Linked DNA regions of Caenorhabditis elegans. The protein of the gene in region 1 interacts with the protein of each later gene in a pairwise test. Each region holds a gene or a part of one and is shown on either strand. Other genes may lie near its edges.

What was found.
Region 2: the proteins of let-805 (region 1) and spc-1 interact in a two-hybrid assay, tested with the Caenorhabditis elegans proteins (one large-scale study listed by BioGRID).

What each region holds. Positions count from the first base shown.
Region 1 is NC_003281.10:2,655,044-2,661,826, reverse strand, and holds the start of let-805 (Fibronectin type-III domain-containing protein), read right to left. Parts: upstream 3,745-6,783; 5' UTR 3,732-3,744; coding exon 3,641-3,731; intron 3,009-3,640; coding exon 2,940-3,008; intron 2,798-2,939; coding exon 2,543-2,797; intron 2,493-2,542; coding exon 2,104-2,492; intron 1,424-2,103; coding exon 613-1,423; intron 1-612.
Region 2 is NC_003284.9:3,122,853-3,129,817, reverse strand, and holds the start of spc-1 (Spectrin alpha chain), read left to right. Parts: upstream 1-2,756; coding exon 2,757-2,959; intron 2,960-3,012; coding exon 3,013-3,097; intron 3,098-4,074; coding exon 4,075-4,200; intron 4,201-4,252; coding exon 4,253-5,833; intron 5,834-5,876; coding exon 5,877-6,965.

The DNA.
Region 1 (6,783 bases):
GCCGTAATTGAAATTTCCGGCAAACCGGCAATTCGCCGAAAATCAAATTTCCGGTGAATCGGCATATTACCGGAATTGAAATATTCCGGCAAATTGGCAAATTGCCGTAATTGAAATTTTCGACAAATCTGCAAATTGCCGGAATTGAAAATTTCCGGCAAATCGGCAAACCGACAAATTGCCGGAATCGAAATTTCCGGCAAACCGGCAATTCGCCGAAAATCAAATTTCCGGTGAATCGGCATATTACCGGAATTGAAATATTCCGGCAAATTGGCAAATTGCCGTAATTGAAATTTTCGACAAATCTGCAAATTGCCGGAATTGAAAATTTCCGGCAAATCGGAAAACCGACAAATTGCCGGCATTGAAAATTTCCGGCAAATCGGCAAGCCGACAAATTGCCGGAATTGAGAATTTCCGGCAAATCGGCCGATCGGCAAATTGACGGATATCAAATTTTCCGGCAAATTGGCAAACCGGCAATTTGCCGATTTGCCGAACTTGTAGACAAAAAAATTTGCCGCCCATCCCTGACATATATAAGAACAAGGTTAGGGTTTACTTTACTCAATTGTTAATACATTTAAAAAAATGTTCAAAAAGTAATACCTGATCTGACACTTCCTGCGACTGCTGTCTCGATGATCACGTCTTTACTCCATTGAGAATGTCCATTAACACTTCGAGATCTTACTTTGAATGTGTAATCAACATTCTGCTTGAGCCCCTTGATGATGACGTGTGGAGCCCCGACATAAGATGCTCCATCGACTGGTGCACTCTGTGATGCCTCGTACACAATGTATTCATATCCATCGATTGGTGTGTGAGTCTCATCGCATCTTGGAACATCCCACTCCAACTTGATGGATTGACCATCAACGTCGGCGGATCGGATGTTGGTTGGAACACCGGCGGATCCGATGCAGGATGTCTCGGCTGCTTCTCCGACAGTCAATTCCTCGGTTCTAGCGACAACCTTGTTCTGATCATCGATAGCAACGATTCTGACAGTGTAGTATGGTGCATTCATTTGTGAAAGAGCAACTGAATAGTCTCCTGACTCATCGGCAACTCCCTTCTGTTCACTTGTTCTCCATGTCGTCTCATTTGGAAGTCTGTACTCCAAAATGAACTTGCTCACCGTGATCGAGGTGGTCGGAAGCTTCCAGTGAACTGCGAACTGTTGTTTTCCCTGATCGACAACTTGCGGCTTCTCCTCCCAACTCTCGATTCCACCGGATGTGGTGTAAGCCTCGATCTGGTAGACCTGCTTTGGTTCATGATCAACGAAAGCGATGACTCCAATCGTGTACTTGGTGTTCGGGCGGAGACCGGTAAGGGCGAACGAGTTGAGGGCTGGATCGACACGACGACGTTCGACGCGTCGGGAGTCATCGTCTACTTCCACCGCGGTGACCTGAAAAATGAAGGTTTTGATGGCGTTTCTAGAAATTTTACGGGCCTCACACGTGGTGCCAGGCTGATCCGTCACGGTTTTATCTACAAAAAATGCGGGAATTTTTCGCCAAAAATATGTGACGTCAGCACGTTCTTAACCATGCAAATTCAGTTGAGAACTCTGCTTCTCTTCTCTCGCATTTTTTGTAGATCTACGCAGATCAAGCCGAAATGAGACACTCTGACACCACGTGCACTCGGAATTGCTAGAATATATCTAAGTTAGTTTAGGGGTTTTCAAAAATTGCCATCGGAGAAGATGCATGTCATGTCCTCGGCTCAGCAGATTGTCAGGCGGCCCGTTTGCCATGTAGCCCACGAATGATACTTCTAACACTTTGCCGTCTAATTTTCGTAGCGAATTAGCCAAAAATGCCCCTACTTTCAAGTTCAGTAGAACAAATAGCGCCATATTTTCGAAAATCACTGAAAATTTTCCAAGGACCGTGCCAGTGGCTTGCAAAATTTGACGGTATCAGATCTGGGACTTCAGTACCAAGACCCGACGAATCGGGTAAATTTTCGGCGGCGGGAGCCTAATCGATACAAAATGATCAAGGCCATAAAACGTATTAGCCGGCATCTGAGTACCCACTCAGATTTTGAAAATGTCTAGATCTACTCTTAAGAACTGCTTACCTCGTAATGCTGAAGTCTAGGATCGGTGAATGGTTGCCAGCTGACACGGAGTTCCGAGTCGGTACGATACAAAAGTTGAATATTATTCGAGATCGGAAGTGCGTCTCCCTTGGTCTTTGCCTCCAAAACTTCCGAATTCCATGGTCCAACGTTGCGGCTGCGATCGGCGGCACGAACCTTCACACTGTAGAAGGTGCCCGGCAGAAGATTTGTGACAGAGACGTGTGGCTGAGTGACAGTTTGTCGGTGGATGTCAAATGGAGCAGAAACACCGGTCAACTCGACCTGGTAGTCTCCGACGGATCCACAGTCTGGAGCATCCCACTTAATGGCAAGAGAGTATTGGGCGACTTCTGTCACTTGTGGGTAGCGAGGTGCAGTTAGGTCATCTGAAATTACGGTTTTTTGTTTTTTTTTAAGCTGTTTCTAAAAATCTTACCATTTTCACATTTAATCGAGACAATTTCATTGTGAGCCCGAATCTCGGGTGTCTCCACAAGAACCTCGTTATTCTCGCCGATAACCTTGATCCGTACGAGATAGGAGATTCCGGTGGGGAGCTTGGGAATCTGTACCCGGTACTGATGATTTGGTCCCTTGTACGGTATGATTCCCGGATGCAGCTGCCATTCTCCACTTCGCTCGGGCCGGTATTCAACGAGGAATCCTTTTACTTCTGAGTCAGCGTGATCTCCTGGAAAAAAGAATTCAATAGAGCGCGTTTTCAACGAAAAACTAGGCTTTTTTACTCAGTCTTCGCATCTAAATATTCTCTATTTGCGTTTTAGGCTTCAAGCTCGGGCCTCAGGGCTTTTAGGTAAAAATGTGAGACTTACCAGTTTGAATTCCTTCCCATTCGACTGTGAGAAGACTATCTGTTCCACTTTGGCGTTTAACTCTGACGTCTGAAAAAAATAGGTTTTTTAGAGTTTTTTTAGATTTAGGCTTTAAGCCACAAAAAAAAAGGTTGCTTTTCCAAAATTAAAAAAACAAATTTTTGCTCAAAATTTGAAAAAAAAAGTGTTTAAGAAGTTAGCAGATTTTTTTTATATTTATTTGTTTTCCAATTCTCTTTAGCTTTATAAAGACAAATTTCAGAAATGGAAATGTTTTTTTTGATTAGCAACTTTCCTACTTTTTTTGGCGTTTTTTGATTAAAATCAGATTTTTTTTATTTAGCCAATAAATTTCAGTAAAAAATCACAAAAATTTAGGGACAAAAATTTTGAAAAAAACATGTTTCAGGATATTTAAGAATTTTGCCAAATTCCATAATTTCTTTAAATCTCAAAAAAAAATTAGATTTTTTGGAATTTCCACAAAATCTATGCTAAATATTTTTTAAGCTAAAATTTCAAAATTTCAACAAAGTTAAAGCTGTTTTATGAAATTTCCAAAAAATTTGAGGCTAAAAAATTTTTGGCATAGACATTTTAGGCTTAAAATTTTTTTTTTTTTGCTAAAATTTTTTGGCCTTAAAACTTTTAATTTTGTTTTCCTTCAACGTTCTATAAATACACTTAAAACTGAAACTTACTGGAGTTTAATGCTACATTTGCTAGGGTAAATAACTGAAGATAGCATATCCCGAGGGAGAGGAGAAGGAGACCCCTCGAACGGAGACCCATCCTAGAGAAAGACCTGTAATTGGGAGGAATTGATTGATAAGAAGAAGACGAAGAAACAAGAAAATGAAAATGGAAAGCATAAAAGTAATAGTAATAGCTAAAAAAGGGGGGAAACGAACAGTAGTAGATTAGTTTGAGTCAGCAGAGGCCGGGGAGGGGGGGCTAGTCTACATTTTTTCTACCTCCCAATTTTTCGGCATTGTTTATTGTGTAATCGAGAGGGGGGCGGCTGTTGTTGTAACCGGGTAATTGTGACAGGAAAAAAGAAAAAGGTGAAAAAGTTTTCATTTGAACGAAAACCGTTGTTTGAAATTCATTCCTGACACGAAATGACAGGTGTATGCAGCCATGCTTGTTATTACCCCTTTCTCACTTTGACAGTGAATATCTCTGTTCGTTTACAAGCTGGTAAAATTTTGTAAAGTACAAAAATGTAGAAAATTTTATGGTCTACATTACGGTAATTGGTAATTTTTTGATATCTGTAAAACTCGCTGAGATATCAGCAATCAAATTAAAAAGGTAAAAAACAGAGCGGGAGATTGAATGGGAGGAGGTAGTGTGGACGGACAATTGAAATGTGAGCTACATAATGTTCAATATACCAAAATACTATTAAGAAGTACAATAAAAAAAACAATGGGAAGCTACAAAAAATTTAGTTTATAGCCGAAAAGTGTGCCCTGTTTTGAAGTAAATCAAAAAATTGAAAGTTCGGTTGTCCGAGAGGACTACACAAATTTTTTCTTGTGTAATTTTTTGTGTCTTCGAGATTTTTTAGAAAAATTTAATTTCAGAAGTAAAATAATTCACTTTAAAATTTTTTTTGGATGTTTACAGCACCAAAATCCGCCTGAAAAAAATTAATGAAATAGCTCGAAAATTCGCTTGTCTACGAGGAGTACACGATGAAATTCAGGTAAAAATCAGCTTTGTTAACGTTTTTTAAACTTCTTAAACGTACAAGTTCATAATCCACAATATTAAAAATTTTACGAGAATTTAGATTTGTGTACTCCTCTCGGACAAAAAGCAAACCGAAATTGATTTCTCACGGGTTTAACTCAATTTTGACAAAATGTTTTGTGAAATTCCTGAAATTTTTGTTTTTTTAAGTTAGAAAAGGGTTTTCATAGTTTAGGAAGTGACGGGTATCAAAAAAATTATTCAAATCTAGCAGCTGTAAGGGTAACCCAAATCATGGTGCATCGGTAAAACAAATTAGGCGATTAAAACACTTTTTATTGAAATGTTGAATAATATACGTATTTAATTACAAGTGCAACCTAAAATACCTTACTACTTACTTTCTAAACAAAATTAGCACTAAAACTTTGGGAAAATTTAGAAAAAATTTCCTCGAAAAAAAAATTTTTATTCAAAATTTTGTTTTGCTTCTAATTTCTAAATTCAGGCCAAAAACCCAGCTCAAACCTAAAACTACCAAAACTAGTCAGTTTATAGGCGAAACGCTAGTGTGATAAGAAACTTTATAGGGGGCTGTACTAGAATAACAAAGTAGTATCAGAAATCCCATTCCATCTTTTCTCATCCGATTCTTCTCTCCCCTTCCCCATCCCCATATATAACACAGAATCAATCACAAACGGTCGTTTAGACAACACACACACACAGTCAGCAATGCAAAAAAAAAGAGGCAACACATCTTCTTCTCGGTGCCCCTTTCCCCACCCTTACCCCGGAGAGAAAGAGAAATAGTACACGGAGACGAAGAGACAAAGCGTACAGAGAATTTAGGGTGTGGCTTTCTTAGAGAAAGAGGAGGAATATAACGAAACCGTTTTCAGTTATGATTTTTTTTTTCTTTCCTTCTTGGCCCCCAGGTTACTCCCCTTTCTCAAGAGGGTGTGTTTTTTAGAAGGAGGGGATGGAGAGAATAAAACACCAAAGAGCGAGAAGATAAGTTAGGTATATGGTGATTAATTATCACAGAGATGGGTTTTGATAGGAATTGGAGATACGGGAGAAGATGCATTTAAATTCACAGTTTGGGAAAGGATGGGGTGGGGTACATTAAAAAGGGTTTGCTCTAGAATTTGCCCAAAAAAAATTGGGAACATTTGGACTTAAAGTTTTTGGAGTATGACAGTTTAGAAATTCAAAAAAAATCGTTTTCTTAACTTCAAAAAACGATTAAAAGAAGGTTATATAGTTTAAAAAAATTTCAAATGTATAATTTCGTAAACACTACGAAAAATGCCCTAAACTATCATAAATAGAGAGGTTTCCGAGATGGTGCATCAAAACAAAATCTCAAAAAGAAATTGAAAAAAAAGGAAAACCGAACAAAAATAGCGCCAATATAAAAGTATAAAAACTCTCGGAGACATGGTGCATCAAGAAATCGGAAAAAAAATATTTTGAATTATTTTTAAAATGTACTGAAAAATTTGTTGAAAGTACACATTGCATCAAAAATTCAGTGAAAAATGACCCTAAACTGTTTTTTAGAAAAGGTCCAAGGCGGCATGGTGCATTGAGAAGTTGGAAAATATTATTTTTATGTTCAAAAACTAAGAATGAAATTCTAAAATCGGTCAAAAACTGATGAAGGGCCCAAAGAAACATGGTGCATCGAGAAATTGGGAAAATGTGAACTTGTTTTTTTTAAATGTATATTAAAAGTACATTAAAAATGCTAAAACGAAAACGGGCCAAAAATTTAGATTCTGGACTATTAAAAAAGAATGTCAGAGACATAGTGCATCAAAAAATTGGGAAAAATGGATGTTTTTGTTGAATATATGTATGTAATTCTATTAAAAGTGAATATCATTTACTGTATAAAATCATAAAATAAGTCCTACTGTTAGAATAAGTTCGGAATAATTTTTTGAATTTTTTTTCCAAAATTAGGTATAAAAGTTTATTTTTTTGTTTTTTTTTAATCGATCGAAAAGGTAGATCCTCAAATATTAAATAAAAAGAGTCAAGGACATGGTGCTTCGAAAAAATGGGGAAAATGGATTTTATTTTTATTTTTGAGTATATTTAATTAGTCATTAAAAGTAGTCCCTAGACTATTAAAAAT
Region 2 (6,965 bases), on another chromosome or scaffold:
AGTCTTGTTCTGAGCATACACGATACGGACAAGAATCCCCCACAAATTTTCGATTGGATTGAGATCAGGACTTCGAGCTGGCCAATCAAGAAGGTTGATCTTCTTGAGCTTGAAATAGTCGCGGGTTGAGTTGCTCACATGGATTGTCGCATTATCCTGCTGAAATCTAAAGTCTTTTCTGGAGTAGTGACGAAGATATTTGGATACAGTGTCGAGAACGGGAAATTTTCCTACTCATTTCATGCAGGGACACATTGAGCAATTTCATAACATCCAGCTGAGCGCGTTCAGTGTCCGAAAGGGCAGATCCTCGAGGCATTGCAAGTTAGACTGCTTTCGAAGTAAGCTTTCCAGCCTCTATATGTGTGCCACAACACATGCCACAATTCCACATTTAATAATTCACGCAAAAAATAGTAAATAACATCTGTGAGGGACAATTTAACTTGAAATATTGGTCCCATGGAACCTTGTAATCAAAGAAAAACGATTTGATTCCTGATAAGCCTTCCATTGTTTCCTGCTGCATATTTTGCCAAATCAGCTTGACTACACAGTCGAAACATCTAAAGTGCGTGCTAGGAATTTTAGTAGGAACTTGTTAAAGAGAGTTTATCAAGTTTTGGCATTACCGAGAGCACCAGGAAGCTTGAAACAGACTTGAACATCAAAGATCGGAAGAATCAGAACCAGTCTGGAGATCCCACGAGAACATTTCGTATTAATTTTTAAAGTCAAAACTGCTTATATGAACTCATTTCTAACTCAAACTTGATTTGAGCTTTGTCAAAAATTCCAAAATCTGTTGATTTTAGTAAAAATCGTGAAAAAAAACGGGGGGTCCTATAGAAGTTTCACACTGGATTTTGACGTTTTTTCCAGCGCGACCTCAGTTTTTGAGATAAACTTCTGGAAAAAAATGTATATAGGTTTTTTTCAATTTAAAAACGAATGGCATTAGCAGTTTTTCAAAAAAATTTTCGGAAGTTCCTCAAACCTTCAAATTAGGGGGGGTCCTATAGAACTTTCCCACACTGTATTTTCTATAATGTTTTATTCTTCATTTCAAACAAAACTTCCGTTGGCATCAATGCCAAATTCTGACGTAAAATAAGAATTTGAAAGATGCTCTGCCCTCCGTCTTCAACGAAACGTCGCCCCGAGCTGTATCGAATTTCTTTGCCTCTTCTCAGAGTGTGACGAACTCGAAAACGAGAGAGAACTAATAGTTTTCATTTGTGTTTCCTTCTCCTTCATTGCCGTCCTTCACTCATGTGTCCGCAGGAAGTTTTCGAACGCAGGTGGCCTCCATCCGGCACTTGACAGATTTGGCGCGGCTCCCCGTTTCCGGTGTTTGCTCACTTTTGTTATGAACCAAAGCTTGACCATGTCACTTAAGAAAAAAGCCCTTGAAGAATCCCTTTTTCGGCTTTTTGTGTGGATGCTTTTAGATTTGATAGAATGGGGTCCCCTATTGTTTTAAATCATTCAGTTGTTTAGCGTAAGTGGATGTAGTTATTTGAGTTTGGAGGTTTTGTATCGTGGTTTTTAAACTAAAACGAATATTCTTTTGTGCAAAGAAATTTCTAATTTGCTCATTTACTCACTTTTACTTCCAAATTTTGAAGTTATGTTTTTTCGGTTATCCTTCCCGCTTTCCCGCTTCCCGTTTTAATAATTTCTGTCACTTTCTCTTTCATCATCACTTCTTCCGTTCCAAATCGATTACCCAATTTTATTGACAACACATCAGTGAAACTTGCAAATATTTGGAGGACATACTTTATACTCCATCTCCGAATATATACATAAATGTGTGGTCGGTGGTGTGTGTGTTGGCGGAGACCCCGGAGAGAGAGAGAGAGTCAAACTGCGAGTAACTGGAGAGATGGAGGATGATGCATTCGGTGAGGGACTGTGTGCTGTTGAGAGGAAATCGCTGGCATTTAATAGAAGAGTGCGTTTTTGTGAGTGTGTGTGTGTGTGAGTGTGTGTGAGGGCAGTCAGAGCGCGGCTGTGTGCGAGGCTGAGCGGGACGAGCGCGTCCAGGCCTGCAGTCGTCTCCCCTCTTGTTGTCTCTGCTTCTCTAGCCACACTCTCTCGTTCTCTGCATTCGGTTTTGTGTTGGTGTTGTGGACGCGGGGGTCGTTTTGGGCGATCGATAGCTGCCAGCTCTTCTTGTACTTGAACCAGTTGAAGTCATCTCCTTTTTTCACTTTGAGAGCATATTCTTTCTTGTTTCATCATTTTCAAAATTTGCTGCATTGTGCAAAACCCCTTTTTTGTAATGTCTCTTCTGTTTCTGACAGCTGTGTGTTCAATTTCAACACAGCTTGTAAACGGCGGAGTCGGAGTTAGTCTGACTCATCGAAATATTGTTATCAGTTCAAAAATGTTGACAGTTGTGTGGGCTGGAAATGGAACCACCTTTTAAAATTACTTTTGACATGATATACTTTTTGAGTAACACTTTCTTGGTAAATTTTCATTCGTAGAATTTATAAGCTTATTAAATTAAAGCCACAAGCTTTCCCATTTTCTATTATTTTTTGTCTCCCAGGTGATTCTTTTCCGCACTTCGTCATTATTTGTTCCCACGTTGTATTTATCCTCTAAAGCTCTCTCTGATTTTTTTTGTTACATTCTTCTCATTTATTTGCTCATTTGTTTCTGTTACGGTCTCTTCATAATCAACTTTCTTTCATTTTCATTTCTATGGAGGTTTTAAAACAATTGTTTTTCAGCGAAATAAGATTATGGCTGATTCGAATGACACTCATGCTCCACCAGAGCCGGTGCTAGAAGTACCGCCACCACAGGAGATTCGTATTCTGGAGACTGCTGATGACATTCACCAACGTCGTCAGGAAGTATTAGGTCACTATTCAATTTTCAAGGATCACTCGCAGACAAAACGAGATCGTCTCGAGGAAGCTCGTCAGTTTCAATATTTCAAACGGTTAGTTCTAAAATTTTGTTGGGTTGTCTAGAATTCTAATTTTTCTGTTAAAGAGATGCTGATGAGTTGAACGTTTGGATTCTTGAAAAGCTCCAGACAGCTCAGGAAGAAAACTTCAGAGATCCGAGCAATCTCCAGGTTGGTACCATCTTCTCATTATTTCTCAGTCGTATTCATCATCTATTTCAAAGTTATCTAAAACATAAATTTTCTGTGGTTGGTCCCCAGCTTTCCATTCTCAATCCTTTTTGACGACAACTCGCACAATTCTTTTCTCTTGGTTCATTTTCCCTCGGGGGGACACTCGGACCCCTTTCTTCTGCTGCCTTGTTTGGGGGCACACAAATGTCTTTTGGGAGCAACGACAAAGGCGCAGCAGCAAAAATATATTGATTTGAGTGGTTCGCTTCAGCGCTTTTCTCTGTGCCTTCGTTTCGAGAAACGCATCTGCGACCCCCAACATGCATGCTCACTTGAAGATTAGGAACTGAAAGCAATGTAGTGCACAATTACATTTATAAACAATTGGCTCGAGTAGAGAGGAGTACATGTGAATTTTGCTAACTTAGTTATTTTCTGGGAAGCAGAAAAGATGAAAATGAAATCTTTTTACACAATATCGTCATTTTGGAAGATATGAGCGCTAGAAATTAGGAGTTAAAAAGTCTTTGAGGAAACAATTTTTTACTGCTCCTAATATCATTCACCTTTACTTATAATGAAACACACTGAAAACCCAATAAATTCCTGTGGGGGTTCCAATTAATCCTCGCCGCCGTTTTTTATCATGCGTTCCGATCGAAAGATGAGATGAATACATATAGTAATAGACGGGAATCTATAAAAAGTCGGGCGTTCGTACACGGCCTTGACACTGCGTAATCGCAACTGACGTGACCTGACTTGATCCGCCGGTTTCCTGTAATGCCTGGAATGATAAGTAATACTGACGAGTAAGAAGATAGATGAGGCGATTATGTTTCTGTTGCTAGGTTTAGCGGTTGAAAAAAAAATGAGAGTAAGAGTTGACTAGTTTTGAAGCATGAATTGAAAGAGAAAATTTTTTTACATCAAAATGAAAGTATGATCAAATGTAAATCATAAAACATTTTCAGGCCAAGATCCAGAAGCATGAAGCGTTCGAAGCTGAGGTTCAAGCTCACGCTAAGACCATCGCCAACCTCGACAAGACCGGAAACGCTATGATCCAACACAATCATTTCGCTAGCGAACACATCAAGGTACTTAAAATCACTAAAGACATTTGACAGTCTGATGATTAATTATTTTCAGAAACGCTTGGAAGAGTTGCACGCCCTCTGGGATAAGCTCTTCTTCAAACTGAAGGATAAGGGAATTAAGCTACAACAAGCACTTAAACTTTTGCATTTTATTCGTCAATGCGATGAAATTCTCTACTGGATTCGAGAGAAGGAAACCTATGTCACCGCAGAAGACATGGGAATGGATCTCGAACACGTTGAGATACTTCAGCGTAAATTTGACGACTTTTTGAAAGAACTCGGTAACCATCAGTACCGAATCAATGAGATCAATCAAGCTGCTGACAAACTTGTCGAGGAGGGACACTCTGAGCACGATCAGATCTACAAGAAGCGCGATGACGTTAATGATGCTTGGCATCGTTTGAACACTTTGGCGGCCACTCGTAAGGAAGGGCTCTTTGGAGCTCATCAAGTTCAACGCTTCAATCGCGATGCAGACGAGACCCTTGCATGGATTGGAGAGAAGGATCTTGCTTTGTCAAGCGATGATTACGGAAGAGACCTCAATAATGTTCAAGCTCTTCAACGCAAGCATGAAGGAACTGAACGTGATCTTGCTGCTCTTGAAGGAAAGATGCTCCAATTGGAGAAAGAAGCTCATAAGTTGGCAGAAACTCATCCAGATCGTGCTGAAGCGATTCATCAAAAGAACGATGACACCAAAGCCGCCTGGAATGCACTCAAGGAGAAGGCTCAACACCGCAAAGATGGACTTGAGAGAAGCTTCCAGCTTCATCGTTTCTTGGCCGACTACCGTGACTTGATTAGCTGGATTGGAGACATGAAAGCTGTCATCGGAGCTGATGAGCTTGCAAAAGACGTGGCTGGCGCTGAAGCTCTTCTTGAAAGTCATCAAGAACACAAGGGAGAAATTGATGCTCGTGCTGACTCGTTCAACCAAACTGCATCCGCTGGACAAAAGCTCGTTGAGATGGGAATTCCAGAGAGTCCAGAAGTTCAGGAGAAGCTCGAGAAACTTGACCACGAGAAGTCTTCTCTTCTTGGATTGTGGGAGGAACGTCGTATTCTCTACGAGCAATGTATGGATCTCCAACTCTTCTATCGTGACACTGAACAAGCCGAAACCTGGATGAACAAGCAGGAAGCGTTCCTTGCCAACACTGATTTGGGAGATTCACTAGATTCTGTCGAGCACCTCATCAAGAAACACGAGGACTTTGAGAAATCGCTTGCTGCTCAAGAGGAGAAGATCAATGCACTTGACGAGTTTGCTACCAAGCTCATTCAAGGACAGCATTACGCTGCTGATGATGTTGCCGAGAGACGCCAAGCTCTTCTTGACCGTCGTCGTCGTCTTCTAGACAGAGCTCGTCAACGTGGAAATGCTCTCAAGGAAAGCTACAAGCGCCAGACATTTGACCGTGACTGTGATGAGATGGTTAGCTGGATCACTGAAAAACTGTCCACCGCTCGTGACGATTCTTACTTGGATCCTACCAACATTCGTGGAAAACTCCAAAAGCACATCAACTTTGAGCAAGAGCTTAAGGCTAACGAGAACCGTTTGGACGATATTCGTTCTACCGGAGAGCAAATCATCGATAGTGGACACTTTGCTGCTGATCATGTAAGTTATCAACTTTTTATAACTATTAGTAACTTTTTTTCAGATCGGAGACCGCCTTCGTCAAGTCAACAACTTGTGGAACGAATTGGTCGATGCTACAAACAAGAAGGGAGCCAAACTTCGTGAAGCTGGAAACGAACAGCAATTCAATCGCAACATTGAAGATGTTGAAGCATGGTTGTCGGAGCTTGAAGGACAAGTTGCTTCCGAGGATTATGGAAAAGATCTTGTATCTGTTCAAAACCTTCAGAAGAAGATTGGACTTATTGAGTCTGATTTTAACGCTCACAACGATCGTGTTGATGGAATCAAGCAACTTGCTCAACAGTTCCAAGAGGAGGAGCATTTCAATGCTCCAGTCATTGTTCGCAAGCAAGAGAATCTTCAGCAGCGCTACAACGCTCTCCGTGATCCACTTGAGAAGAGAAAAAGAAAACTCGGAGAGTCCCACCAAGGAAATCAACTGTTCCGCGATATTGAAGATGAGCTGGCTTGGATCCGTGAGAAGGAACAAGTTGCTGGATCAACCAATCGAGGACGTGATTTGATTGGAGTTCAAAATCTCATCAAGAAGCAGCAGGCTCTGATCGCTGAGATTGCCAACCACGATAGCCAAATCGAGAGTGTCAGCAGTGCCGCCAATGACATGATTCAACAAGGACACTTCTTGGCTCCAGAGATACGTGATAAACTTGCTCAACTTCGTGACAACTGGAGAATTCTGAAGAGCAAGGCTGAGAAGAGACGCACAGATCTTGATGACTCACTCCAAGCCCACCAATACCTTTCTGATGCCAATGAGGCCGATGCTTGGATGAGCGAGAAAGAACCAATTGTTGGATCCACCGACTATGGAAAGGACGAAGATTCTGCCGAGGCTCTTCTCAAGAAGCATCGTGCTCTTCTTTCCGACTTGGAAGCTTTCAAGGGAACTATCGAGGATCTTCGCAAGCAAGCTTCTCAATGCAAGTACCAAGAGCAACCGATGGGACAACTCGGACGTGACTGTGTGTTGGCTCTTTACGATTACCAAGAGAAATCTCCTCGTGAGGTTTCCATGAAGAAGGGAGATGTTCTCACTCTTCTCAATGCTAGCAACAGAGACTGGTGGAAAGTTGAGGTCAATGATCGT